Anolis sagrei: one gene and its partners. The protein of the gene in region 3 interacts with the protein of the main gene of each other region in a pairwise test. Links are inferred from orthologs where the notes say so. Each region holds a gene or a part of one and is shown on either strand. Other genes may lie near its edges.

What was found.
Region 1: the proteins of GIT1 (region 3) and LAMTOR5 interact in a two-hybrid assay, tested with the Homo sapiens proteins (2 studies listed by BioGRID and IntAct). The link is inferred for Anolis sagrei from reciprocal best matches to the Homo sapiens genes GIT1 and LAMTOR5.
Region 2: the proteins of GIT1 (region 3) and PPFIA4 interact in a two-hybrid assay, tested with the Homo sapiens proteins (2 studies listed by BioGRID). The link is inferred for Anolis sagrei from reciprocal best matches to the Homo sapiens genes GIT1 and PPFIA4.
Region 4: the proteins of GIT1 (region 3) and PFDN1 interact in binary tests that used the Homo sapiens proteins (3 or more experiments, as listed by UniProt). The link is inferred for Anolis sagrei from reciprocal best matches to the Homo sapiens genes GIT1 and PFDN1.

Annotation. Positions count from the first base shown.
Region 1 is NC_090024.1:183,624,885-183,632,033, forward strand, and holds the start of LAMTOR5 (ragulator complex protein LAMTOR5), read left to right. Parts: upstream 1-4,132; 5' UTR 4,133-4,213; coding exon 4,214-4,248; intron 4,249-5,765; coding exon 5,766-5,827; intron 5,828-5,925; coding exon 5,926-6,043; intron 6,044-7,149. UniProt on the Homo sapiens protein: As part of the Ragulator complex it is involved in amino acid sensing and activation of mTORC1, a signaling complex promoting cell growth in response to growth factors, energy levels, and amino acids.
Region 2 is NC_090024.1:206,155,955-206,163,461, reverse strand, and holds the start of PPFIA4 (liprin-alpha-4), read left to right. Parts: upstream 1-4,490; 5' UTR 4,491-4,597; exon of another isoform or gene 4,598-4,636; intron 4,637-7,507. UniProt on the Homo sapiens protein: May regulate the disassembly of focal adhesions. May localize receptor-like tyrosine phosphatases type 2A at specific sites on the plasma membrane, possibly regulating their interaction with the extracellular environment and their association with substrates.
Region 3 is NC_090031.1:33,986,905-33,993,907, reverse strand, and holds the start of GIT1 (ARF GTPase-activating protein GIT1), read right to left. Parts: upstream 3,016-7,003; 5' UTR 2,769-3,015; coding exon 2,717-2,768; intron 1-2,716. UniProt on the Homo sapiens protein: GTPase-activating protein for ADP ribosylation factor family members, including ARF1.
Region 4 is NC_090024.1:136,883,168-136,890,118, forward strand, and holds the start of PFDN1 (prefoldin subunit 1), read left to right. Parts: upstream 1-3,929; 5' UTR 3,930-4,004; coding exon 4,005-4,037; intron 4,038-6,951. UniProt on the Homo sapiens protein: Binds specifically to cytosolic chaperonin (c-CPN) and transfers target proteins to it. Binds to nascent polypeptide chain and promotes folding in an environment in which there are many competing pathways for nonnative proteins.

The DNA of each region.
Region 1 (7,149 bases), on a different chromosome or scaffold from region 3:
CCTCCAGCTCTAGCATTTGTGATCCCTGTCCGCCTGAAATGATGATGGAAATTTCTCCCTTGTTCATAGCTCTAGATCTACAAAACGACAAATCTTTATTTTCTCCAAGTAATTAGGAGCAGTTCTCGCTTTGGCTCTGCATTGCTATGACAGATGGGGCCGTGTGCATCTCGCATCTCTATGAGTCATTGGAAGTACCAAGAGAGACATCATTCCTTTTCTCCTGACGGCCTCATTGGGGAAAGAGTGCTGATGTGCCGAAATGGACGTGGCATTTGATTTAAAGGTGCAGCATCCAGCACTCCATTCCAATCATCACATATGGCTCTAAGAGCCAGAAAGATGGGTCTGTACCAAAGTACGTGTTGGAATCTAGTTTTGGAAGTTTGTCAAATATTTTTCAAAGAAGGTGGGGGGGGGGGGCAGTATGTACAAAATAAGAAAATGAGAGTAAATGCACACAACTGATTAGATGCCCACATTCCTGACACAAGTAGAAAATATGTGTTTTTAAAAACATACAAAGATTATTATATCATAGTGATAATTATATCATAAAATCTGAAACAATCAGACAATTTAAGATATAAAGCTCCTTACTCATTTGGGGATGGAACTATGAATTTCAAAAATTATATGAATATGCTGTTCCTTTTGTACCTGCTCATAAATGAGGCAAAGGGATCCTGAATGATATAACATGTTCTAATGACTGAAACCCCATCTACATTAACTTATGATAAAGTTTCAAACTGTATTGTATGGCAGTGTAGATGGGACCACTGTTCTCAAATTACACTATGTAACAAAATTTGAGAAATTTTCTGTTCCTGGCTTGAAAGTGCTATTTCCTGTTTAATTGTGCAGTATTTACATTGAAAGTAGTTGTTATACTCCGGAAACTATGTTGAATTGGTTGAGACTTGATACAGAACCATAGAATCCTTGAACTGGAAGAGACCTCATGGGCCATCCAGTCCAACCCCCTGCCAAGAAGCAGGAAAATAGCATTCAAAGCACACCTGACAGATAGCCATCCAGCCTCTGTTTAAAAGCCTCCAAAGAAGGAGCCTCCACCACACTCTGGGGCAGAGAGTTCCACTGCTGAACAGCTCTTCAATCATTGAAAAACTACAGCAAATGTGCTGCAGGATGACCTGCCAAAACAAAGTTTTTGCAGTTTAATAAACCTTTTCCATTTTTTATGATAGAACCAATTAAGAAATGACATTTATAACCCAGGTACAAAGTGTTATCAAAGCAATTCCTAATTCAAGCTGGAACTGCACTTTTTGGAAGACGAGTTGAGTATTCCGCATTCTTTATTTATTTCATGTCAAAAGAATTGCATAACTAAGTATAAAACTGATAAAAACAGAGGGTACACAAGTGGTTAAATAATTTTTGACCAAAAACAGGCAACAGCGACCACATTGCCTGTAGCTTTAAACAATTCTTCCTCTGTGCATGTGACAGGGCATTGTGGACAAGCATACAGATGCAGAGTCGTTTGTTCTGTTCCAGTCACACAAGGTGGATTCTTCTAGGCCAGTGGTTCTCAACTTTCCTAATGCCACGACCCCTTAGTACAGTTCCTCATGTTTTGGTGACCCCCAATCATAAAATTAATTTTGTTGCCACTTCACAACTGTAATTTTGCTATTATTATGAATTATACTGTAAATATCTGATATGCAGAATATATTTCCATTCATTAGACCAAATTTAGCACAAATACCCAATACACCCAAATTTTAGTATGGGTGAGGGGAGGTTGGAAGGGATTGATTTTGTCATTTGGGAGTTGTAGTCACTGGGATTTGTAGTTCACCCACAATCAAAGAGCATTCTGAACTCCATCAATGATGGAATTGAACCAAATTTGGCACACACAAGTCCCATGACCAGCAGAAAATGCTGGGTTTGGTGGGCATTGACCTTGAGTTTTGGAGTTGTAGTTCACCTATATCCAGAGAGCACTGTGGATTCAAATAAATGATGAATCTGGACCAAATTTGACACAGATACTCAATATGCCCAAAGGTGAACACTGGTGGAGTTTGGGGAAAATAGACTTTGACATTTGGGAGTTGTAGTTGCTGTGATTTATAGTTCACCTACAAAGAGCATTCTGAACCCCACCGACGATAGAATTGGGCCAAACTTCCTACACAGAACCCCCATGTCCAATGAAAATACTGTGTTTTCTTATGGTATTTGGCGACCCTACTGACACCCCTCGCGACCCCTCAAGGGATCCCGACCCTCAGGTTGAGAAACACTGTTATACGTGGTGCCATTTTGCCAGGTTGTCTTTATATCTGCCTGCCCCATTTCTAAGACTCTTCAGAGACTTCCAAGTTGCCCATTCTTGATTTGCTCCTGGAGGAAGACCCTCGGGGGGGGGGGGGCATCCAGTTGGAATTGCCTGATTTTGAAACCCAGAGGGATACTCTTGCTGTTGCTGGGGAAATGTTAAGAAGAGTGGTGGTTCTCATGAATCCTCTCACTGATTTGAGTCTACTGGAAGGAGGTTGATAGCCATGCAGAGGATGGCTTTCAGTGTTCAACCTCACAGTTAGGAGCAACTTTCCATCGCACATCAGGGGGTGGAGGGGGGGGCAATGTCAGCTAGCTTTTAGAGTTTATCAACAGGTGTAGGTTTAAGATATCCTGTGATTATTCTGCATGTTTTATTCAGTGCTGTATTCACCTGCGTCGCGTATACAGACTTGTGCAAAACTGGGCAGGCATACTCAGCCGATTCTGCGTTCTACATGCTTGGTACCAGAAGTGCTTTGGAGGATGATAATGATTGTGGAATACCTTTAAACATAATGGAACTGAAGACTAAATGCAAATTCCATTTATGTTTCATATATGCCTTATATGCATAGCGCTCTACGTGGGGTTGCCTTTGAAGACTGTTCAGAAACTTCAAATTGTCCAGCGGGCGGCAGCCAGGTTGCTAACTGTAGCAGTGCTCAGGTAGCACACAACTCCTGTTACGCCAACTCCACTGGCTACCAATTTGCTACCGGGCACAATTCAAAGTGCTGGCTTTACCCTATAAAGCCCTAAATTGTTCCAGCCCAGCTTACCTGTCTGAATGTATCTCTCCCTATGAACCATCTAGGAACTTAAGATTGTATGGGGAGGGCCTGCTCTCAATCCTGCCTTCTTTGCCTTTGGCGGGGATGAGGGACAGGGCCTTCTCAGTGGTGGCCCCTCGGCTGTGGATCTCCCTCTCTAGGGATATTAAAACCTAGCTCTTTGAATAAGCCTGGAAGTGCAGTGCAATAGACAAGCACGGAAGTGCAGTGCAATAGACAAACACGGAAACATGGAAAGACTTAGACGATGCTACTGGAGAGTGAGATTAACAGGAAGACATTGGTTATTATATGTTTTTAAAGGTTATTGTATTGATTTTATAATGATGTTTTCAATGTTTTAATTGTATATTGTGGATTGTGATGGCATCGAATTGCTGTCAATTTGTAAGCCGCCTTGAGTCGCCTTCAGGCTTGAGAAAGGTGGAAGAGAAATATCATAAATAAATAAATAATAGCTTGAAATTAATTTCATACACTGTATTTTAAAATAATTTGGGGAACGAAACAAAGTGTGTGCCTATTGAACTCACAGCAGCCATTTCCTTTCCAACACGTTATGCACTTGACAAAGAGTTGTTACTTAAGGGGGCCTCTACACTGTTGAATTAATGCAGTTTGACACCACATTTAACTACCATGGCTATGGAATCCTGGTAGCAGTAGTTTGGTCAAACAGCAGCTCTCTTTGGCAGAGAAAGACCTTGCAAAACTACAATTCCCATAGTTTCATAGCACTGGGCATGCATGGGGTGTCGAACTGCATTAATTCCACAGTGCAGAAGCAGCCTATGTTTGTGGACCACTTTCCTTACACATATAGTAAATACAATGAGAGGGAGATCGTGACAAGAAAAGACCAAAGCTGATCCAGCTTAACAAGAAGAGGAAGAAAAATGCCTTCAATCCGCAAAATGAAGTCTACAAAAACACTCCCCACCTCCCGCTGGGCGGAAATGTTTACTGCGCAGGCGCGTCCGACTCTCGAAGAATTCCGAACCCAACGAGCCGCCGTCCACTCGCTGGCTGGTCACGTGGACACAAGTCAGCTGACAAGGAAGAGCTGGTGTTTTGCGGAAGAGGCTCAGTCGGTCGGCGAGATGGAAGGCGCACTTGAGCACCATTTGGAAGACACGTAAGCCTGGAGTTCGCAGTGCCCATCAGCACTATGGACTGGGGACGGGCATGCCATTCGAGCCCTGCTCCCAGGAAGCTTAGAGTGCATCTTCACTATAGAACTAACGCAGTTTGGGGTCATTCTAACTAACTTTGGTGAGGCACCAGCCCTCTTTGCAGAGAAGGCTAAGAGGCCATGGCAGCTAAAGTGGTGTCAAACTGCATTAATTCTAGTGTAGATCAGGCGTGGGCAAACTTGGGCCCTCCAGGTGTTTTGGACTTCAACTCCCACCATTCCTCACAGCCTCAGGCCCCGTTCTGAAGCGGCTGAGGGGGAAAAGGAAAGGGCCTGAGGCTGTTAGGAATAATGGGAGTTGAAGCCCCATGAGGAGCGGCCTAAAGAGCTGGGCATGTTTAGCCTGCAGAAGAGAAGGCTGAGAGGAGATACGATAGGCATATATAACTATGTGAGAGGAAGTCATAGGAAGGAGAGAGCAAGCTTGTTTTCTGCTGCCCTGGAGACTAGGACATGGAACAATGGATTCAAACTACAAGAAAGTTGGTCCATCTGAACATGAGGAAGAACTTCCTGACTGTGAGAAATATTCAGCAGTGGAACTCTCTGCCACAGAGTGTGGTGGGGGCTTCTTCGTTGGAGGCTTTGAAACAGAGTCTGGATGGCCATCTGTCGGAGGTGCTTTGAATGAAATATTCCTGCTTCTTGGCAGGGGGTAGGCTGGATGGCTCATGAGGTCTCTTCCAATTCTATGATTCTAAGTCCAAAACACCTGGAGGACCCATGTTTGTCCATGCCTATGCTAAAGGAGCCCACCCTCATGTCCTGCTGTATCCTCTTGTATGATTCATGCGGAGATGAGCATGCTAACCTCTTCTCCATAGAAGTGGATGGAGGAGGGACAGACTTCATAGCTATTACAGCTCAAAATCAGGGTACAGCCGACTGGCTGCTCTCTGTATCAAGAAGCCCAGACTCTCTGCACAGGATGCATGCAGACAGGGAGGGGGTTACATCAGCTTGCCATGTGGGAGCCACTCCACGCTCTGCCCCCCCCCCCCCCACCAGTTTGCACACACCACCGCCGTGGAAAATTACACAACCTGCCAATAGGGAGCCCCACACACTGCAAGGAACAATTTCGCGAGGTGCATCAACACTCTGGACTGGATGCAGCTTGACACTACGTTTCCTGCTATGGGATCTTGGGAGTTGAAGTTTGGCAGGGCTTGTAGACAACATTAAAGCATGGCAGTGGATGCGGTGTCAAAACAGTGGATGCACTCCAGCAGCAAGGAATGGGAGGAACGGTGCGAGTTGAAGTCCAAAAGTCCAAAACACCTAGAGAGACCAAGTTTGCCCGTGCCTGGTGTAGATGTAGCCCAACAATCAGGCACTATACCACACTATCACTCTCCTCTAGGGACCAATTCTTATTATATGCTTATTATTGTTGCTTTTTCGTTGTTCTGTCCCACCTGCTGGATGTTTCTGATCCCTTCTGTCTCCTCCTTTCCTAGAATGAAGAATCCCTCCATTGCAGGAGTCCTGTGCACTGATTCCCAGGGACTGAATCTGGGCTGTAAGTATTTTGGAAACTCTCTTTCAGTCCAAGTGAACTGTCCTGTATTTTTAAAACTAATTTATTTTCCTTTTCAACTATCGATCATTACCTTCTAGGTCGTGGCACTCTCTCAGATGAACATGCAGGTGTGATATCGGTTCTAGCCCAGCAGGCAGCCAAATTAACAAATGATCCCACAGATATCCCTGTAGTGTGCCTTGAGTCAGATACTGGGTAAGTGTGCTCTGTTACTTACCTACTTCACCTCATTGCATAAATTTGTTGGAACTCAGCCAAGTCCTGCACAGGTTTATAGTCCTCATCAAGTTAATAAGATAGGTAGATGAGTTAGCAGGCAGGGAAAGCTCTTCCCCCATTGCTTTGTCTTCCCCTCTCTCTCGTTTTCTCCTATTAGTTTGTTAGACTGATGCTTCTCAGGGACACACCTCTTTTTATTCAAAGTTTCTAGCCACATGCAAGCCCCCCCCCCCCCTCCAAGTCCTCCAATTTTTTTCTTCTGTCAGCATGAAGAGAGACAAGATGCATGCAGAGATAGGTAAGTTAGATAGCTAGGCCCTAACTTTACTATATAGAAATGTAGTTCTTTGAAATGTAGTTCTTTTATAACTTGACTCTCTTCCTGTATTTATGAAACTCATTTTCCCTACAGCTATGCACAAGAAGCTTCTGATCTGCTAAAAACTACTGCTGTTGCTTTACCATTGCATATGCTTTTTCATTTTTGAAATTACCCAACAAAATTACTTTCTGATGGATTGATATGTGTAACCTGGTAAACATTTGCTGCTCTTTAGCTTTCATGTCACACACAAGGAACAATTTCTGCATCTGGTCTTTGTTTCTTAGAGACATAGGACATCAGATTATTTTAGCTGAGTGCTTCCATCAGCCCCACAGAGCATGGAAATTATTATTTTTCCTTTTTTTTACATGTTAGGAGCAACTTGAGAAACTTCTGGTGTGAGAGAATTGGCTGTCTGCAAGGACATTGTCCAGGGGACGCCCTGGTGTTTTGATGTTTTACCATCCTTGTGGGAGGTTTCTCTCATCATTAATGAAGTTTAACAAAGATGTTGCTCTCCATCATATACTTACTTGAGCATGCTATGGATGTAGGTTGGTAGGGTACAATCTTTCTAAATAAAGGAACCTTATGGTTTTTAACTTTTAATATGTTTTAATGGTTTTTAACTGGGAATTTTTAATATTGTTTATATTTAATCCTGTTTTAATTTTTGCACATTGGTATATTTTAAATTGTATGCTAATGCTCTACATTGAGCAGCTTTGAGACTCCTTTAGGAGAGATAAAGCAGAGT
Region 2 (7,507 bases), on a different chromosome or scaffold from region 3:
GTGTGTGTGGGAAGCGGCGCAGCGGGGCTTGGAGTGGGCATGGTTTCCGCAGAGGGAACGTTGGCCGGAAGGCCATGTGCGCGCGCCAGGGAACTTGCGGCTGGGCGCCAATGCGCATGCTCAGTTGTTTTGCAGTTTTGTAAGTGTGTTGTTGTGTTGTTTTTCATTTTGAGTAGATATGTTTGTACCTTGTGGGTTGTGTTATGGGCACGGGGATTTTAGTTAAGTTTTGTTGGGGGATTTTTGAGTTTTGTTGTTTTGCCGTTTTGTGAGTGTGTTGTTGTGTTGTTTTTCATTTTGAGTAGATATGTTTGTACCTTGTGGGTTGTGTTATGGGCACGGGGATTTTGGTTAAGTTTTGTTGGGGGATTTTTGAGTTTTGTTGTTTTGCCGTTTTGTGAGTGTGTTGTTGTGTTGTTTTTCATTTTGAGTAGATATGTTTGTACCTTGTGGGTTGTGTTATGGGCATGGGAATTTTGGTTAAGTTTCGTTGGGGGGTTTTTGAGTTTTGTTTCCTCGTTGGATGCCCCTAACAAATTTATATATATAGATTATTGGCATAGCACAATATCAGCATTATGTATTACTATATTGTACTATACGATAATATTGTAATACAGTATTATTAGTAATATTACATGTAATATAAAATATGATTATATTGTATTATTATTAGCATTTTTATTTCATATCAAAAGCATTGCATAAATTAGCATAAAACCGATAAAAATAGGAGCGCAGGTGGATAAATATCTTTTGACCAAAAACGGGCAACAGCAATGGCATTATCTGTAGCCTCCAACAATTCTTCCTCTATACATGAGGCAGGGCATAGTGGACAAGCATACAGATGCGGAGTTGTCTGTTCTGCTCCACAGTCACACAAGGTGTGGGATTCTTTTAGGTAGTGCCATTTTGCCAGGTTGTCTTTTGATCTGCCCACTCCACTTCTGAGTCTGTTCAGGGACTTCCAAGTTGCCCATTCTTGGTTTGCCCCTGGAGGAAGACCCTCTCTTGTGGGGGGCCATCCAGTTGGGATTTCCTGGTTTAGCTGCCCAGAGGGATACCCTTGCTGTTGCTGGAGGGATGCCAAGAGGAATGGTAGTTCTCATAAAGCTTTTCCTTTATTTGAGTCTACTGGGAGGAGGCCGGTAGCCATGTAGTGGATGGTTTTACAGTGTTCAACCTTATTTCTCTCACATTTAGCAGCAACTTCCCATTGCACATTGGGGGGGGGGGGGGGGGGAATGCCAGCTAGCTTGTAGAGTTTATCAACAGGTGTAGGTTTAAGACATCCTGTGATTATTCTGCTAGTTTCATTCAATGCTATGTTCACTTGCTTTGCATGAGCAGATCTATGCCAAACAGGACAGGCATACTCGGCAGTTGAGTAAGACAAGGCTAGGGCTGATATTCTTACCAATTTTGGGTCTTCACCCCATGTGCATTATATTGTATTACATTATTATTATTATTTTGTTGTGTCAGAACGACTTGAGAAACTCAAAGTCGCTTCTGGTTTGAGAGAATTGGCCGTCTGCAAGGATGTTGCCCAGGGGATGCCCAGATGTTTTGATGTGTTACCATCCTTGTGAGAGGCTTCTCTCATGTCCCTGCATGGAGAGCTGGAGCTGAGAGAGGGAGCTCATCTGTGCTCTCCCCATATTCGAACCTGTGACCTATCAGTCTTCAGTCTTACCGGCACAGGGATTTAATCCACTGCACCACTGGAGGCTCTGGTATTATATTATAATATTACAAATATTATATGTATATACAATGTATTATATTATTAGCACAGCACAGGAGACAAGGTGGAACTGTCTTCCTAGCCCCCCCTCTCTCTTCACTCTGGCCCAGAGGAGCAGTTGGTGATGGGGGGAGGGGCTCCCAACTGATGACATAGGCCACGGTGGTCCATGCTGTTGTTACATCCCAAATAGACTACTGCAACACACTCTATGTGGGATTGCCTCTGAATACTGCCCAAAAGCTTCAACTAGTCCAACGTTCGGCAGCCTGGCTGCTCACTGGGGCTGGGTACAGGGAGCGCACAACGCCCTTGTTATGTCAGCTCCACTAGCTGCCTATCAGCTTCCGAGCACAATTCAAAATGCTGGCTTTGGCCTATAAAGCCCTTAACAGTTCTGGTCCAGTTTACTTGTCTGAACGTATTTCCCGCTACGATCCACCTAGGGCCCTAAGATCATCTGGGGAGACCCTGCTCATTGTCTCCCCATTGTCACAATTGTGTTTGGCGGGGACAAGGGACAGGGCCTTTTCTGTGGTGGCCCCCCGGCTATGGAACTCCCTCCTGAGCAAAATTACATCTGCTGCATCCCTCTTGACCTTCCGGAAACAAGTAAAATCCTGGCTATTTGATCAGGCCTTTGGAGAATAGGCTGACCTACTGATGTGTTGACTTATTTAGAACTGATGGACTGCCCTTGGATAATGATTTAAATCAGTGACCACTGACTATTTGTTGTCTGTTTTTATATTGTTTATACAGTTTTATATTGTTGTTATTATTACATTGCTGTTAATTGTATATTTATGTTTTGATGTGGGCGCCGCTTTGTTAGCCGTCCTGAGTCCCTCTGCGGAGGTTGAGAAAGGACGGGATATGAAAGCCCTAAATAAAGAAATCCTCTTGACCTGGAACCAAGACTTGATACAACTTTAACTGCCACAGCTCAATGCTATGGAATCCTGGGAGTTGGAATTTTTACAAGGCCTTTAGCCTTCTCTGCCAGAGTGTTAGTTCCTCTCCAAACCACGACCCCTAGGATTCCATAATACTGAGTCCTATCAGTTAAAGTGGTGTCAAGCAGCATCCATTCTGCAGTGAAGACGCACCCGAAGAGGAGGAGGAGGGAGGCCTTCCATAGCTGTGACCCCTCGCATATCGTCTACTACTACCATACATACACAGAAGGAATGGTCGCTCTATTCCGTATGCAGCAGGACTCCTTTTCCATGTAGCGGTTGCTGGTCTAGGGGCTGCTCTCTCCTTCCTCCTCCGCATGGGGAGAGGCGGGGCCTGGGGAGGCTTTAAACCCCAAAGAGGCATTCCAAAGGGAAGGGGAGGGGGTGTGGCGTGGCGTGGCCTGGTCAGGCACACTCGCGGCGATGCAGAAGCAGAAAGCAAAGGCCGGCTTAGGGGCGTGGCCTGGCGCGAAGCGGGTGGGGGTCGAGGCCTGTGAGGCGGAAGAAAGGCGTAGCCTTGCGCGAGGCGTATGACGCTGAAGAGGGGCGGGACCTGGCGCGAGGCTGGAAAGGGGAGGCCTATGAGGCGGGACAGGGGCGTGGCCTGGCGCGAGGCTTTTTTTTTTTTTTTTAGTCAGAAACTGTAAGTCGCTTCTGGTGTGAGAGAATTGGCCGTCTGCAAAGACGTTACCCAGGGGACGCCCGGATTTTTGATGTTTTGCTAGGAAATAAAGCCTGACTGCTCATTGGAGGGAATGATATTAGAGGCCAAGATGAAGTATTTTGGCCACATAATGAGAAGACAGGACAGCTTAGAGAAGACAATGATGCTGGGGGAAATGGAAGGGCAAAGGAAGACGGACCGACCAAGGGCAAGATGGATTAATGGTATCTTTCAAGTGACTGGCTTGACCTTGAAGGAGCTGGGGGTGGTGATGACCGACAGGGAGCTCTGGCGTGGGCTGGTCCATGAGGTCACAAAGAGTTGGAAGTGACTGAGCAAATAAACAACAACAAAACACACATACAAAGCACCTGACTTATACTAACTAATAAGGGACTTCATCTAGGTCCACACCACATCCTTGTGGGAGGCTTCTCTCAGGTCCCTGCATAGGGAGCTGGAGCTGATAGAAGGAGCTCATCTGCGCTCTCGAATCTCTAACCTGTCTTCAGTCCTGAAGGCAGAAGGGTTTAACCCATTGCGCCACCGGGGGCTCCTTATCAAAGCAGATAAGTGTGGGTTTTATTTAGCTGTGTGGAAGCGGCCTCAAATTCGGAAGGAAAGCCGACTCCTGAGGCCCCTTCCAGACAGCTGAACAAAATCCCACACCTCTGAGGATGCTTGCCATAGATGCAGGCGAAACGTCAGGAGAAATGCCTCTAGAACATGGCCATATAGCCCGAAAAAACCCACAAGAACTGAGTGATTCCAGCCATGAAAGCCTTCGACAATACAAAATCCCACGTTATTTGCTCTGAACTGGAACATATGGCAGTGTGGACTCAGATAACCCAGTTCAAAGCAGATAATGTGGGATTTTCTGCCTTGATATTCTGGGCTACATGGCTGTGTGAGGAAGGGCCTTGACAGAGGCACTAACCAAAGGTAATGGCAAGGCTGAGAGGGTGGGGGCGGGGCCTCGCTCGAGGCGTAAGGCGGGAGAGGGGCGTGGCCTCGCGCGAGGCTGTGGAGACTGGGGGCGTGGCCTCGCGCGTGGCTGGGAAAGAGAGGCGGGAGAGGGGCGTGGCCTCGCGCGAGGCTGGGGGCGGTGCCGGGCGCGCGAGAAGGAGGGGCGTGGCCTCGCGCGAGCCACTACACAGCCGCCACTTAGCCGCTGTGCTGTGAGGGAGCCTTTCTCTCCCTTTTCCTTCCACGAAGCCGGCGGTGAGTGGCGGTGTTCATCTGAGGGGCGCCTTCAGGCAGGTCGGTGGGCCTTCCTTTCCCCGCTTGTCCTTGTGCTGAGGGCGACGTGCCCCAGTGGAAGGGGAGGGGGGGAGAACGGTGTGAGGGGACTGTTTGGGGTGAAAGCGGGGAAGGAATGTGAGTGCTGCCGGTTGCTGTACCGTTGTGTGGTGGGAGGGATGGATGAGGATGGCAGGCCAACGCCACAGGCCTCCCTCTCCGCACCTGCCCGTCCTTGCCGCAGCACGTCGGCTCCGAGGGGCAGCTGAGGCCGCGGGTCGGTAGGTAGGCAGGTAGATGCCCGGCGTGGCTCGACCTTTTGTTCTTCGAGGGATGGATGCTGTGCCCCGGAAGCCCGGCAAGGAGGGAAGGAGGGAGGGAGGGGGATGTCTGTGGCGGAGGAGCTCGATGCGGCGGGGGCCTTTGGCTCCTCGCCTTGCTTGGCTTTGCCTGCCTTCTAGATGCTCAAGGAGACCCCAAGAATGGATGATGCCTCCGCGGGAAAGCCAGGCCTGGGATGCATCTGCACTGAAGAATGGAGTCAGGTTGACATCACTTGAACTGCCATGGCTCCATGCTGTGGAAGCCTGAGTGGCTCAGTTTTACCAAATCAGAGTAGCCATTTCTGCCAGGAATAAAAAAAGAGCCGACACTTCACCGAATTACAAATCCCATCATCCCACAGCATTGAGCCAGGGCAGTTAAAGTGGTGCATTGATTCTACACTGCACCCCAAGTCTGAGGGAACTGTGCAGACCAGGCATGTGCAAACTTGGGCCCTTCAGGTGTTTTGGACTCCAATTCCCACCATTCCTAAAAGTCTCAGGCCCCTTCCTTTCCCTCTCAGCCGAAGGGGAAAAGGAAAGGGCCTGAGGCTGTTAGGAATGGTGGGAGTTGGAGTCCAAAACACCTGAAGGGCCCAAGTTTGCCCATGCCTGGTCTGTACCTCGGGCCATGTTTGTGTCACTGAGCATAGCTACTGCCTCTAAATGATAACTTTATTTTTATACCCCACTTCCATCTCCCCGAAGGGACTAAGGGCGGCTTACATGGGGCCAGGCCTAATCAACAGAGTTAAAACGTATCAATTTAGAATGCATAACATCAATTTAAAACAGCAAGATATATAACAAGATATAAAACAAACATCTTAGGAATTGTGGGAGTTGAAGTCCAAAACACCCGGAGGGCTGAACTTTGCCCACGCCTGCTCTACACTGTAGATTGAATGAAGTTGGATACCACTTTAGCTGCTGTAGATCAGTGCTAAGGATCCTGGGAGTTGTCATTTGGGGATACAAGGTTAAGGAATTTGTAGTGCCACAGGTCTCATGCTTCCATAGCATTGAGCCATGGCTTTTTTAAAAAAATGGATTATCACAAACATTTACATATAGTCCGACTCTCTTTGTGGACTAATTTTGTATCCACTGAATGAAAATATTTCATTCAGCATTTGAAAACTGGATTTTCGCAATTACTTACCCTATGCAGTTCACCCTCCTTATAGACAGATTCAGTATAACCTTTAAGGCCCTCAGTTGTTTGGGTCCAGGTTTCTACAGGATTGCCTTCTCCTGTATAATCTGCCTCATACACTGAGGTCTTCTGGGAGATGGTTACGCCAACCATCCAGAACCTGACAGGAAACAGTCACCCAGAGGACCTTTTCATTGGCTGCTCCGAGTCTTTGGAATGACCTGCCAGAAAAGCTCTGACAGCATTCAAGGCAGAACTGAAGACCCATCTCTTCTGGCATGCCTACCCAGTCAATTTACATTCTACCATTACTGTACTTTAATATTTGTATTATGTATTTTATTATATGTATTTTATAGAAATGTGTTCTAATGTATTATTTTATTGTATGTATTATATGTTTTAATGACAAAGAGGCGGGCAATGAATATATTATTATTAACATCCACAGCTTATATATATATATATATATATATAAAAAAATTCAAAAACCAAAGTAATTTTATTTTATACAAGGGATCCCATTTTACTACATTGTTGTATGTAGTGGAACTGTGGGTCCTACAACCAAAGCCTAGTGAGTACCAAGGGTCCACCGTATTATCTTCTCATAATGGTTGGCTTATGTTAGAAATGTGGGAATGTTATTTACTTGTATTTAGACTTAATCATAATTATAATAAAATTCTTGAAATTAAAGTGTCTTTAATGGTAGTAACGACTAATGAGTCTTATTGATGGAAATGACTTCATTCTAAATCTGGATACAACCAACCATGTTTTATGAACTGGCATTTTCCTTGTTTTCAGTGGGTGCTGCAATGTTGCATTGTTGGGGAGGGTTAGATGGCTTTTATGTCTAATTTCATATGTGTACTTCTAAAATGTGAACATCCTATAATGGAAGAAGTCACTGCATATGGTGGCTAAATGCAGCCTTAATTACTTTGCATATGCTAACGAAATGGAAGATGTCTGCTTTTGAAGGTGATAATGTAGGCTTGGAACTACCCTACCCCACCCAGTCCTTGTCCAGAAAATTTTGAAATCAAGCCTAAAATAAAAAGGAACAGATGGGTGAGACAAACGGTTGATAGAAACGTAAGGGGACAACACGACAGTACAGAACAAGAGAAACAGCTGTCATAGCACACCAGTTGCTTAACCACTCTTGTGTTCTCTAAGCATCATGATTGCTTTTATAGCTATATTTATGTATATCCACAGAATAAGGCAGAACAATTGATTGTGAATCATGAGTGAGACCAGTCAATAAAATTGTCTTATGCTTGTAAATATGGCAGGTTTGCTGAAGCTCTTCAGACCAGGTGCTCTGAGTCTTGTTTAAAGTATCTGTTGTCTTCTGTACTTATAAGCCTTGGCAAGCCTTTGAGATGTTTTGAGGCTCTCACT
Region 3 (7,003 bases):
ATGTCATTCCCATATAGTAATAGTAATAATACATTAATATGGACGTATAATAATGTATATTATTATTATTATACCTTAACATTATGAAGTTCCCATATAATAATAGTAATAATACATTAGTACGGATGCATAATAATGTATATTATTGTTATATGAAGTTCCCATATAATAATAGCAATAATACATTAGTATGGACGTATAATGAAGTATATTATTATTATTATTATACCTTAACATTATGGCATTCTCATATAATAATACATTACTATGGATGTATAATAATGTATATTATTATTATTATACCTTAAAATTATGGCATTCCCATATAATAATAGTACTAGTACATTAATATGGACATATAATAATGTATATTATTGTTATACCTTAACATTATGAAGCTCCCATACAATAATACATTAGTATGGATGTAGAATAATGTATATTATTGTTATATGAAGCTCCTATATTATAATAGTAATAGTACATGCGTATAGACATATAATAATGTATATTATTGTTATATGAAGTTCCCATATAATAATAGTAATAGTACATTAGTATGGATGTAGAATAATGTATATTATTGTTATACCTGAATATTATCAAGTTCCCATATAATAATAGTAATAATACTTTAGTGTGCATGTATTATATATATATATATATATATATATATATAAATACCTTAACATTATGAAATTCCCATATAATAATAGTAATAATACACTAATATGGATGTATAATAATGTATATTATACCTTAACATTATGATGTTTACATGCAATAACAGTAATAATACATTAGTATGGACGTATAATAATGTATATTATTATTATACCTTAACATTATGAAGTTCCCATATAATAATAGCAATAATACATTAGTATAGACGTATAATAATGTATATTATTATTATTATTATACCTTAACATTATGAAGTTTGCATATAACAATAGTATTAATATATTAATATGGATGTATAACAATGTATATTATTGTTATACCTGAATATTACGAAGTTCCCATATAATAATAGTAATAATACATTAGTATGGACATATAATAATGTATATTATTATTATTATTATACCTTAACATTATGTTCGCATATAACAATAGTATTAATATATTAATATGGATGTATAACAATGTATATTATTGTTATACCTGAATATTATGAAGTTCCCATATAATAATAGTAATAATACATTAGTATGGACATATAATAATGTATATTATTGTTATACCTGAATATTATCAAGTTCCCATATAATAATGGTAATAGTATATTAGTATGGGCGTATACTTTTACATGGATATGATTCTGCTTCTATAGAATAATGAAAATAATGCCTAGATATGAATTGTAATCCCATTTAAAACCAAAAAGCAGAGGCCCTCCTCCAGGACAGAGGCCCAAAAGCCAATGGTCCCTCCATGGGAGGAAGGGTGTCTCCACCCACTCATCTGGGAAGGAAAGGAGGAAGGAGAGTCCTGCATATGGATGTGTAATAAATAATAATGATGGTAATTACAGATTATTATACATTAATAATGCATAAGGGAGGGGAGAGAGGTGCAGATGGGAAGGAAGGAAGGGGTGGAAGGATAGGAATGGAGGAAGGGGAGGGAAGGAAGAGGAAGGAAAGGAAGGGAGGGAAGGAAGGAAGGAGAAGGAGGGAAGTATTGGAAGGAAGGCAGGAAAATGAATGGAGGGATGGAAGGGAAGAAGGAAGAAAAGAAATGGAAGGAAGGAAGAATGGAAGGATGGGACAGAAGGGATAGAAGAAAAGGAAGGAAGGAAATGAATGGAGGGATGGAAGGAAAGGGAAAAGAGGGAAGAAGAAAGGAAGGAGATAGGGAGGAAGGGAGGGGAAGGGAAGGAGGGAAGGGGGAGAGAGAGAGGGAAAGATGGGAGGGAAGAGAGGAAGGAAGGAAAAAGGGGATGGAGGGAAAGGACGGAAGGTAGGGAGGGAGGAAAGAGATGGGAATGAAGGAAGGGGGGAGAGAGAGAGAGATGGGAAAGAAGGGAGGGAAGGAAGGAAGGGAAAGAGTGAAGAGAGAGAGAAAGATGGGAAGGGAGGGAGGGAGGGAGGGAGGAAAAAAGGGAAGGAAACAAGGGACAGAAGATAGGGAGGGAAAAGGAGAGAGATGGGATGGAAGGAAGGGAAGGAGAAAGAGATGGGAAGGAAGGAAGGAAGGAAGGAAGGGAGAGAGAGAGAGATGGGAAGGAAGGGAGGGAAGGGAGGGAAGGAAGGAAAGGAAAGAGTGAAGAGAGAGAGAGATGGGAAGGAAAGAAGGGAGGGAGGGAGGGAGGGAGGGAGGGAGGGAAGGAAGGAAGGAAGGAAGGAAGGGAAAGGAAAGGAAAGGAAAGAGGGGAGAGAGAAATGGGAGGGAAGGAAGGAAGGAAGGAAGGAAAGGAAAGAAGGGAGAGAGGGGGGGAAGAGAGATGGGAGGGAAGGAAGGAATGGAAGGAAGGTAGGGACGGAAGGAAGGGAAGGGAGTGAGATGGGATGGAAGGAAGGGCAGGGAAGGAAGGAGGGAGGTGTGTTGTGTTGGCCCCGGGTGTCCCTTCCTGGCCCACTTCCTGCCCAAAGGAGGGGAGGGGCCCAGAGGGAGGGGTCCCCGCCCCATTCTCCCTTCCCTGCCGAGGCCTCAGTACCTGCCTGGGAAGGGAAAGAAGGAAGGAAGGGAGGGAAGGAGGAGAGAGGCTCACCTGGGGCGCTGCAGTCGGCGCAGACCTCGGCCCGGGGCACCTTCCGCGACATCCTGTGCCGCAGCCAGGAAGGGAAGAGAGGAAGGAGAAGAGGAAGAGGAGGAGGCCCACCTCCCTCCTCCCCCTGAAAAGCAAGGGAAGGGAAGAAGGGAAGGATGCAGAGAGGGGAAGCCCTGGGCCGGCCCTCGGAGAAGAAGAGGAGGAGGAGGAGCGGAGGAGGGAAGGGAAAGGAGGAGGAGGAGGAGGAAAAGGAGGAGGAGAGGGAGGAGAGCGCGACCCCGGCGTCGGGCGGAGCCAAAAGAGGGGCGGCCTCTGCTGCAGGGCAGGATCTGGCCGCCCCTTCCCCCTCCTCCCCTCCCTCCTTCCTTCTTTCCTTCCTTCCAGGCTCCATCTCTCTCTCTCTCTCTCTCTCTCACCCTTCTCTTTCCTTCCTTCCTTCCTTCCTGAGATCCCTGTCTCCTCCAACCTTGCTACTTCCTAGCTCTCCTCTGGCTACTGTTACCCATCGCCATGCCCAGATCCGGTTTGCAGGGTGCATTCTCATTCCTTTGGCACACATTGGAAGACTGGTGGGATTTGGGGGGTGGGGGTGGGATGTATAGTTCACCTGCAGTCAACGCGCATTCTGAACCCCACCGATGATAGAATTGGGCCAGACTTCTCACACAGAAGGCCCCTAACTTGAAGGGACTCGCCTCCCTCCAGCTTGGCACGCTCTCCCTCGCCCCACACAAGTACACCTGCTCCCCCCTTGGAATCTCCCCTTCCATCCATCCCTTCCTTCCCTCCCTCCCTCCTTTCTCTTCCTCCATTCCCCTTGGAGTCTCCCCTTCCATCCCTCCTTTCCTTTCTTCCCTCCCTCCCTCCTTTCCTCCCTTCCCCTTGGAGTCTCCCTTTCCATCCCTCCCTCTTTCCCTCCTTCCCTTCCTTCCTTCCGTCCTTCCTTCCCCTTGGACTCTCCCCTTCCATTCCTTCCTTCCTTCCTTCCTTCCATCAATCCCTTCCTTCCTTCCCCTTGGAGTCTCCCCTTCCATCTCTCCCTCCCTCCCTTCGTTCCATTCCTTCCTTCCTTCCGTCCTTCCTTCCTTCCTTCCATCCCTTCCTTCCTTCCCCTTGGAGTCTCCCCTTCCATCCCTCCCTCCCGTCCGTTCCATTCCTTCCGTCCTTCCTTCCTTCCATCCCTTCCTTCCTTCCTTCCCCTTGGAGTCTCCCCTTCCATCCCTCCCTCCCGTCCTTCGTTCCATTCCTTCCGTCCTTCCGTCCTTCCTTCCTTCCTTCCTTCCCCTTGGAGTCTCCCCTTCCATCCCTCCCTCCCGTCCTTCGTTCCATTCCTTCCTTCCATCCTTCCTTCCTTCCTTCCTTCCTTCCTTCCTTCCTTCCTTCCTTCCTTCCCCTTGGAGTCTCCCCTTCCATCCCTCCCTCCCGTCCTTCGTTCCATTCCTTCCGTCCTTCCTTCCTTCCTTCCATCCTTCCTTCCTTCCTTCCTTCCCCTTGGAGTCTCCCCTTCCATCCCTCCCTCCCGTCCTTCGTTCCATTCCTTCCGTCCTTCCTTCCTTCCTTCCATCCTTCCTTCCTTCCCCTTGGAGTCTCCCCTTCCATCCCTCCCTCCCTCCCTTCCTTCTTTCCATCCCTTCCTTCCTTCCCCTTGGAGTCTCCCCTTCCATGCCTTCCTTCCTTCCCCTTTGGAGACTCAGATGCAGCCCTCCCAGGCCAGACTAGATGCCCTTCAGGGTTCCCTCTCAGGACCCTTTTCTTTCCAATGGGGTGAGCTTAGGCCTAGGTGAGCCTTGTCACCCCAAGCCTTGTTGCAGGGAGACAGAGAGAGGAGTCAGGGATGCTCCAGAGATGGAGAGCCTTCCTCTTTCTTCCTTTCCTTCCCTACATCTCCACTAAAGCTTGGACAGGATCCTTTTAGAGGAAGCAGGGCAGACTAGGTGCCCTTGAGGAGTCCCTATCAGGACCCTTTCCTTTCCTCTAGCTTGGGCCTAGATGCCCCTTTTCACTCCAAGCCTTGTCGTGAGAGATGAGGGAGAGGCAGCAGAGATACTCTGGAGATGGAGAGCCTCCCTCTTTCTTTCTTTCCTTCCTTGCATCATCAAAGTCTGGATGGGAACCTTTCAAAGGAAGCATGTCAGTCTAAATGCCCTTTACGGTTCCCTCTCATGGTGTTTCCTTTCCAAGGGGGTGAGCTTAGGCCTAGGTGGCCCTTGTCACTCCAAGCGTTTTTGCAGAGAGACGAGGAGAGAGGAGTCAGAGATATTCCAGAGATGGAGAGCCTTCCTCTTGCTTTCTTTCCTTCCTTTCATCTCCACCAGAGCATGGATGTGAATAAAGCAGGCCAGACTAGATGCCCTTCAGGGTTCCCTCTCAGGATCCTTTCTTTTCCAATGGGGTGAGCTTAGGCCTAGGTGACCCTCTTCACTCCAACCCCTTTTGCAGAGAGATGGAGGAGAGAGGAGTCAGGGATGCTTTAGAGATGGAGAGCCTTCCTCTTTCTTTCCTTCCATGCATCTCCACCAAAGTCTCAATGGGAACCTTTCAGAGGCAGCATGTCAGTCTAGATGCCCTTTGTGGTTCCCTCTCAGGACCCTTTCCTTTCACCTAGCTTGGGCCTAGATGCCCCTCTTCACCCCAAGCCCTTTTTTTGCAGAGAGATTGGAGGAGAGAGAAGTCAGGGATGCTCCAGGGATGGAGACCCTTCCCCTCCTTTCAGTTAAAGCAGGCCAGATTAGATGCCCTTTAGGGTCCCCTCCCATGGTGTTTCCTTTCCCAGATAGTGGGCTTGGGGCTAAATGCCCGTCAGCCCAAGCCTTGCTGCAGAGAGATGGAGGAGAGACCAGAGATGGAGAGCCTTTCTTTCTTTCTTTCTTTCTTTCTTTCTTTCTTTCTTTCCTTACATCTCCACCAAAATCTGGGTGGGAACCTTTAAGAGGAAGCAGGCCAGACTAGATGCCCTTTGTGGTTCCCTCTCATGGTGTTTCCCTTCCAAGGGGGTGGGCTTGGGACTAAATGTCCCTCTTCACTCCAAGCCTTGTTGCAGGGAGATGGAGGAGAGAAGTAAGGGAAGGAGAGCCTTCTCCTTCCTTCCTCCCTTCCTTCTTTCCTTCTCTACCAAAGCTTGGATGTGAATGAAGCAGGCCAGACCAGATGCCCTTTGAGTTCTGGATGGGAACCTTTCAGAGGAAGCAGGAACAACTACATGTCCTTTGTGGTTCCCTCTCATGGTGTTTCCTTTCCATTGGGGGGAGCTTAGGCCTAGGTGACCCTTGTCACTCCAAGCCTTTTTTGCAGAGAGGTATAGAGAGGAGTCTTGGATGCTCCAGAGATGGAGAGCCTTCCTTCCTTCCATCTCCACCAAATCTTGGATGTGAATAAAGCAGGCCAAACTAGATGCCCTTCAGGGTTCCCTCTCATGGAGTTTTCTTTCCAAGGGGGTGGGCTTGGGACTAAATGTCCCTCTTCAGTCCAAGCCTTGCTGCAGAGAGATGGAGGAGAGGGGTGTCAGGGATGCTCCAGAGATGGAGGGCATTCCTCTCTCTTTCCTTCCATGCATCTCCACCAAAGATTGGATGTGAATGAAGCAGGCCAGGCTAGATACCCTTCAGGGTTCCCTTCTCATGGTGTTTCCTTTCCAAGGGGGTGGGCTTGGGACTAAATGTCCCTCTTCAAGCCTGCTTGCAAAGAGATGGAGGCGAGAGGACTCATGGATGCTCCGGAGATGGATAGATAGCCTTTCTTTCATCTCCACCAAAGCTTGGGTGAGAATAGCAAGCCAGACTAGATGTCCTTTGGTGTTCCTTCTCATGGTGTTTCATTTCCAAAGGGGTGGGCTTGGGACTCAATGTCCCTCTTCACTCCAAGATAGAGGAGAGAGGAGTCAAGAATGCTCCAGGGATGCTCATTCTTTCCTTCCTTATATCTCCACCAAAGCTTGGATGGGATCCAAAGGGCAGACTAGATGCCCTTCAGGGTTCCCTGTCACGGTGTTTCCTTTCCAAGGGGGTGGGCTTAAGACTAAATGACCCCCTTCACTCCAAGCCTTGTTGAAGAGAGATGGAGGAGTCAAGGATGCTTTAGAGATGGATAGATTGCCTTCCTCTGTCTTTCTTTCTTTCCTCCCTTCCTTCCTTCCATCTCCACCAGTTTGGATATGAATAAGCATTCCAGACTAGATGCCCTTTGGAGTTCCCTCTCACGGTGTTTCCTTTCCAAGGGAGTGGGCTTGGGACTAAATGTCCCTCTTCAGTCCAAGCCTTGTTGCAGAGAGATGGAGGAGAGACCAGAGAT
Region 4 (6,951 bases), on a different chromosome or scaffold from region 3:
AAGAGATGCCAATGCACAACAAACATATAGCAGAGTTTCAGAAATGTTCTCTTCAGTTGCCCCAAAACATCTATCTACTCTCTCTTAAAGCGGACAAGAGCAAAGCAGGCAGCAGTCTCCTAAAGTGGACAGACCATGAGGCACGGAGACACAGAGGTTGCCTCTTTAAGCCCCAAAGCCCTATACTCCTGCGCTAGTGCTCCCTCTGATGCTAGCTCTTAATTCAAAACACTGCTCTTATATCAAAGTGAAACCCGGTCTGAGAAAAATACTCTCAAATTGGGATGCTCTTAACTAGAAATCACACTGTGTTTGTATTGCTAGAACATTAGTGCTAATTTTGTAAGTTGCTATAGAGCAGTGGTTCCCAACATTTGCTCCTCCAGAAGTTTTGCACTTTGGCAGCCAGAATTTGTAACAGTTGGACAAGCTGTCAGGGGATTCTGGGAGTTGAAGTCCCAAACATCCGGAGGACCAAGCGTTGGAAACCACTGCTACAGAGGTATCACGGTGTCCAATTCCACATTCTTTTTCTAATTTGTCTCCAGATGTCTCGCTCATGAGTCTACACATGTTCTCCTCCTGTTTCTCCCACAATGGCTCACTGTGATTTTTCCCCCCACTTGAGGTTTTGTGCAAAAGTGGCAAATCTTTACTTTGCTATTGCTACATCTGCGTCTGTGCAACATCTCCACTCCTCAAGAAATCTATCTGCCCTCTGTGTGCATTGATGCTCTGGGGAGACCAACCACAGAGGAACGAAGGAACACTCGTACGTGTTTGTAGAATGATCTTGCTCCAAGGATGCATGTTACCCTTGCACAATACCTCAAAAGAAAAATGTATTATGGGGCACTGGGGGTAGACTGCCATAGGTGAAGATAACAGAGGAGTCTGGAACAACATCCTTCTGATGTCAAACATGAATTTGGAAGGCCCTACCTAGACAGAGACCGGCCAGACCCAAAAAGAGGATCCGGAACACCTGATAAGACAGCAAGCACCAAGAAAGATTTTTCCTTCAATTTTCCAAAATAAAATCTCACCAAGTTGAAGCAAAAGCCACCAAAGTTTTATTTCATTCCAGCTGGAAGTGATCATGACTGCAGTTATCTGCCCAAGGAGCTGACATGCTGGATGGGCAGAAAAAACAATATTTATAGGGCTGTCAGATTCAAAAATTCCCATGCCCACCCCCACCCCCCTGAACTGGCTTCATTGTGATTGGCTGTGACGTCAGCAAGCCAGCAGGAGATCCAATGAGAGCCCGACCACTGCTTTGGCCGCTCAGCCAATGAGGTGGAAGGAGATGGGCAAATGGGAAACAATGAAAAGAATGCCATGATGATGGGTTATGAATGGCACTTTCTGCGCCTGTATTGATAAAGGGGCCAAAGTGATAGCTTAAGCCCTCAAACTTCAGCCCAGGCTATTGTCTTGAGTCTTGAAATAACGTCTTCTGTCTAGCTCCAAAGAGCCAGTTCCATCGTCATATTGCTCTGTAAAATTGGCTTGATGATGGGAATTGAAATTCCTTTTTGGAGATGGAGAAATGGCACAGTGGGGAGGCGGTGACAATCCCTGGTTCCTTGCAGTTGGGAAATGTATGGTTGGGTGATTCTGTATGTCCATAAGTCCCATTGTCCTGGATGGTCTAGCCAACAAGGCCCTCCGAAGTCCAGGAAAAGGGCCCATTTACTTATTGTCCATGCAAATGAGTTTCTGTCAAGACCTTTGTTAATGGGATTATTGGCTCAGGAAGTTTGAAAACTCCTGAGCCCTGGGTTGGTGGCAAAGCTCATGAAAGGGTTACCTTGCTTCATATTTTATATAGACATACTTACTTACTTAGGCGATCCCTTGTTGCCCAAGTAGGATAGTCTTCCAAGATGGGTGTACTGGTGGGTCCATAGGTGACTGTGGAGCCCTATTCTTGATCTGCATCTTCTCCCGCAGTGAGGGCATTGGTTTCCAGGTGGAAGGCGGTCTCAGTCAGGGTTAGCTTGACAGACTACTGGTCACAGCTGATCTCCAGCTAGAGCGCTCAAGGGCCAGGGCTTCCCAGTTCTCAGTGTCTACGCCAGAATTTTTAAGGTTGGCTTTGAGCCCATCTTTAAATGTCTTTTCCTGCCCACCAACATTCCATTTTCTGTTCTTGAGTTCGGAGTAGAGCAACTGCTTTGGGAGACGGTGGTTGGGCATCCGGACAACGTGGCCGGTCCAGCAGAGTTGATGGCGGAGGACCATCACTTCAGTGCTGGTGGTCTTTGCTTCTTCCAACATGCTGCCCTTTGTCTGCTTGTCTTCCCAAGAGATTTGCAGGATTTTCCGGAGGCAGCGCTGATGGAATCGTTCCAGGAGTTGCATGTGACGTCTGTAGACAGTCCACATCTCTCAGGCATATAGCAGGATTGGGAGGACAATAGCTTTATAAAGAAGCATCTTGGTATCCCTACGGATGTCTCGGTCCTCAAACACTCTCTGCTTCATTCGGAATAAAACTGCACTTGCAAAGCTCAGGTGGTGTTGTATTTCAGTGTCAATGTTGACTTTGGTGGAGAGGTGGCTGCCAAGGTAGCAGAAATGATCAACATTTTCTAATGTTACAACATTAAGCTGTATTTCTGGCATTGGAGAGGGATTGGAGAGAGAATATAAATATATACATGAAATATTTATAATATTATAATTTGATGCAATATAATACTAATAATAATATAATTATATATTTATATTACATGTAATATTACAATATAATGGTATAGTACAATATAGTAATATTTAATACTGATATTGTACTATGCTAATAATATAATATATTGTATTTATTTATTTATTTATTTACTTTGCTTATATACCGCTGTATCTCAAGCCCGAAGGCGACTCACAGCGGTTCACAAACAGTAAAAAAACAGTAGAAACAGCAGTGGTTCCATACAACATATAACAATTGACTTAACACATTATCCATAAATTACCAAAAGCAATTACAATGCACAATTATTACAAAAAACAACCGTACCCAATCTTCTCATCATCCAAGCGTAGTCCAGGTTCGTCGTCCATTGTTCCATTCCTATGTTTCATTACCAGATTGCACTAAATTACTCAAACGCCTGCACAAACATCCAGGTCTTCAACTTTCTTCGGAATGCCATGAGAGATGGCGCCAGCCTAATGTCTGTAGGAAGGGCGTTCCTTGTAAGCCGCTCTAAGTCCCCTTCAGGGTGAGAAGGGTGGCATAGAAATGTTGCAAATAAATAAATAAATAAATAAATAGGCTGGTGACTGCTGGAAGAGCACTTTGGTTTTCTGATATACAGACATACATACGTATAATGGATGGGGATATGGGGAATATACTGCATTTTATATGGGAAGGGAAAGGCATGCAGGATCAAGGGAAGATTCATCTTGGTCACCCAGAGTTCATGTAAGATGACACAAAGCTCACTGAGCCATTCATAAAACAGGAGTTTTATTCACAAAAAGGGAATCCAATTCATAAATAATAGCCAAATTGATCAGATGCTGGTTTGGGTTACAGGGGCGTTGCCATGTGGGGCCATGGAAAGAGCCTTAGGTTCCACCATGGGGGAGAGATAAGTGATTATTGGATCATTCCAGCCTGGTGTCCTTGGCAAAACTATGAATTCCCTGATTATGAACTCTTTTACAGGGTCCTGGGGGATGAGGGTCATCTCTGATTACACTTCAAGAACTGAGACCAGTGTGGGCCAGACTTGGCTACTTGCAATTTCTTGGATTTTAACTAAGACTGAAGTATGTTTGGGCTATACAGCATCCCCCAGCCCAGGCTGACCTTGAGCTGCTGAATCACCTAGTACCCAAGTATCCCTGTCCAACCTTATCCACAGTACACAGTTCTAGCCTGGATCCCCCTATTGCGCATGCGCAGCGCGGGGCATGTGTACGCGAAGGGGACGCCGTCAGTTGAACGGCTTGCTCAGCGCGCAGGCGCAGTCGTGTTCAAAGCAGGCAAAATGGCGGCGCCCGTGGACCTTGAGCTGAAAAAGGTATGGGGCGGGAGGGGGTGCGGGTGGGGATGGAGAGAGATAAACGAAGCTCAGGCCCAGAGCTGTGTGAGGCCGTTGTCGTCTGAGGCGAGTCTTTTCGGGAGCGGAGTTTCTCAGGGGCTCATGGCAGCACCAGAGGCCCTGTTGGAGCCTTTGCCATAAAGACAAAACGCCTTTTCCTGGAGTGTTTGTACTAGGAAACTATCAGAGCATCGCCTCAGGATGGGGCCGCCTCTCTAGGCCACAGGAAAGCGGTTTGAGTGTTGGGCGAGGGCAGTGGGAGGCAGGTGACACTCTCTCAGCCTCAAAGCCAACCCCCTCTGCTTCAGTTCTGCCTAGAAAACCCGGCATAAACGGCGGCTTAGGCTTTTATCAACATCAGACTATGTCTACTCGTGGGTGCCTGTGCTTTTAAAACCCCTTCCACACAGCTGAATAAAATTCCACATTTTCTGCTTTGGAATATATGGCAGTGTGGACTCAGATAACCAAGGGCCCTTCCACACAGCCCTATATCCCAGAATATCAAGGCAGAAAATCCCACATTATCTAAGTGTGGACTCAGATAACCTAGTTCAAAGCAGATATTGTGGGATTTTCTGCCCAGATATTCTGGGATATAGGGCTGTGTGGAAGGGCCCCTAGTTCAAAGCAGCTCTTGTGGGATTTTCTGCCTTGATATTCTGGATTATATGGCTGTGTGGAATTGCCCACAGATAATAATAATAATAATAATAATAATTAAACTTTATTTGTACCCCGCTAGCATCTCCCGAAGGACTCGATGCGGCTTACAAAGGCCAAAGCCTCAACATAACAACAACAAACAATAACGATGCAAGCAAATTAAAACATAAGCAATAACACAACAAAACATTACACTATTACACAATAAAATCAGGGCCAGGCCAATGATGGGTACAGGTTAAAAGTCCTGGATGTGTGAGGTGGTATGTTGGAGTTCTGGGCAAGTGCAATGTTCAGATAATATTAAACTCTAATAAAGTGCTTCTGGTACAGAGTGTTGGGGATTATCCTATTCTGGAAAGGCACATCGGAATAACCAAGTCTTCAAGTTCTTCCTAAGACTGTGAACGTGGGTGCTAGTCTAATGTTTTTGGGGAGGGTGTTCCAAAGTCGGGTGGCAACCACAGAGAAGGCCCTGTCCCTCGTCCCCACCAAACGCACCTGCGACGCAGGTGGGATCGCGAGCAGGGCCTCTCCGGATGAGCAAAGAGAACGCGTGGGTTCGTAAGCGGAGATGCGGTCACGCAGGTAGGCAGGTCCCAAACCGTTCAGGGCTTTGTAGGTAAGCACCTGCACTTTGAATTGGGCTCGGTAGGTAAACGGCAGCCAATGGAGCTCCTTAAACAGGAGGGTTGACCTCCACAATATCTGCCTTGAACTGGATTATCTGAGTCCACACAGCCATATAATCCAGTTCAATGTGGATTTTATACAGCTGTGTAGAAGAGGCCTTAAGTGGTTCTCTTACCAGTGGTTCTCAACCTGGGGTCCCCAGATGTTTTTGGCCTACAACTCCCAGAAATCCCAGCCAGTTTACCAGCTGTTAGGATTTCTGGGAATTGAAGGCCAAAAACATCTGGGGACTCCAGGTTGAGAAGACCCTTTTTTCACTGCCACATAATCCATATTATCAAAGGAGATCATTAACATTACCTACTTTGAACTGGATTATCTGAGTCTACATTGCCATATAATCCAGTTCAAAGCAGAAAATGTGTGATTTTATTTATCTGTGTAGAAGGGGCCCCAGAAAATCAAGGCAGATAATCCGCAATATCTGCTTTGAACTGGATTATCTGAATCCACACTGCCATATAATTTTATACAGCCAAATGGAAGTTGCCTCAGAACCGGTTCTCCCAGGCCCCTTCTTCACTGCCATCTAATACAGTTTATCAAAGCAGATAATTCACATTACCTACTTTGAACTGGATTATCGGAGTCCACAATGCTATATAATCCAGTTCAGTGTGGATTTCATACAGCTGTGTGGAAAATGTCCCAGATTATCTGGCAGTGTAGACTCGGGGGCCCTTCCACACAGCCATATAACCGAGAATATCAAGGCAGAAAATTCCACAATATTTGTTTTAAACTGGGTTATTTGAGTCCAAACTGCCATATATTCCAGTTCAAAGCAAATAATGTAGAATTTTATTCAGCTAGGTTGAATGGGCTTCATATAATTCCGTTCAAAGCAGATAATCCGGAACCAGATCCTGGAATGCAGGGCAGTGTATATCCATCCTGAAACATTCATAAAATGATAACGTTAACAATGAGTATTCCTAATACTCATTAGAAAGTACACACACAAGCATCATTGGGTATATACACTAGTATATAATATCTATTTGCCATATTTAAAAGATTCAAATGGCCTACCCCGAGCAATTCTGGTCAATGTCCATTCTCAAAATTATATCACTAGGACTACCCCTTAGAACAAAATTCTAGTGAAATCATCAGAACCTTCCCACTTACTAGGCATTGGGTTAGGCCCTTTAATCTCAAAGTCTGTCTATTGTCAAGGCAGAGCTATCTAGAAGCAGATAACATCCAAGCAGAGCCCTTTATGTATGAGTCTCTAACAATCAAGGAAGGGCCCTTCCACACAGCCGTATCACCCAGAATATCAAGGCAGATAATACACAATATCTACTTTGAACTGGATTATCTGAGTCCACACTGCCAAATAATCCAGTTCAATGTGGATTTCATACAGCTGTGTGGAAGGGGCCTTGGTTTTTATTGGTAGTCTCCCATCCAAGTACTAACCAGACCTGATCCTGCTTAGCTCAATTATCAGACGAGATTTTGCCTTTTGTGTATTAAGGAAGCATTACTCACACATACAGTTCATTGAAGAGTCCACTGTTTCTTGTTT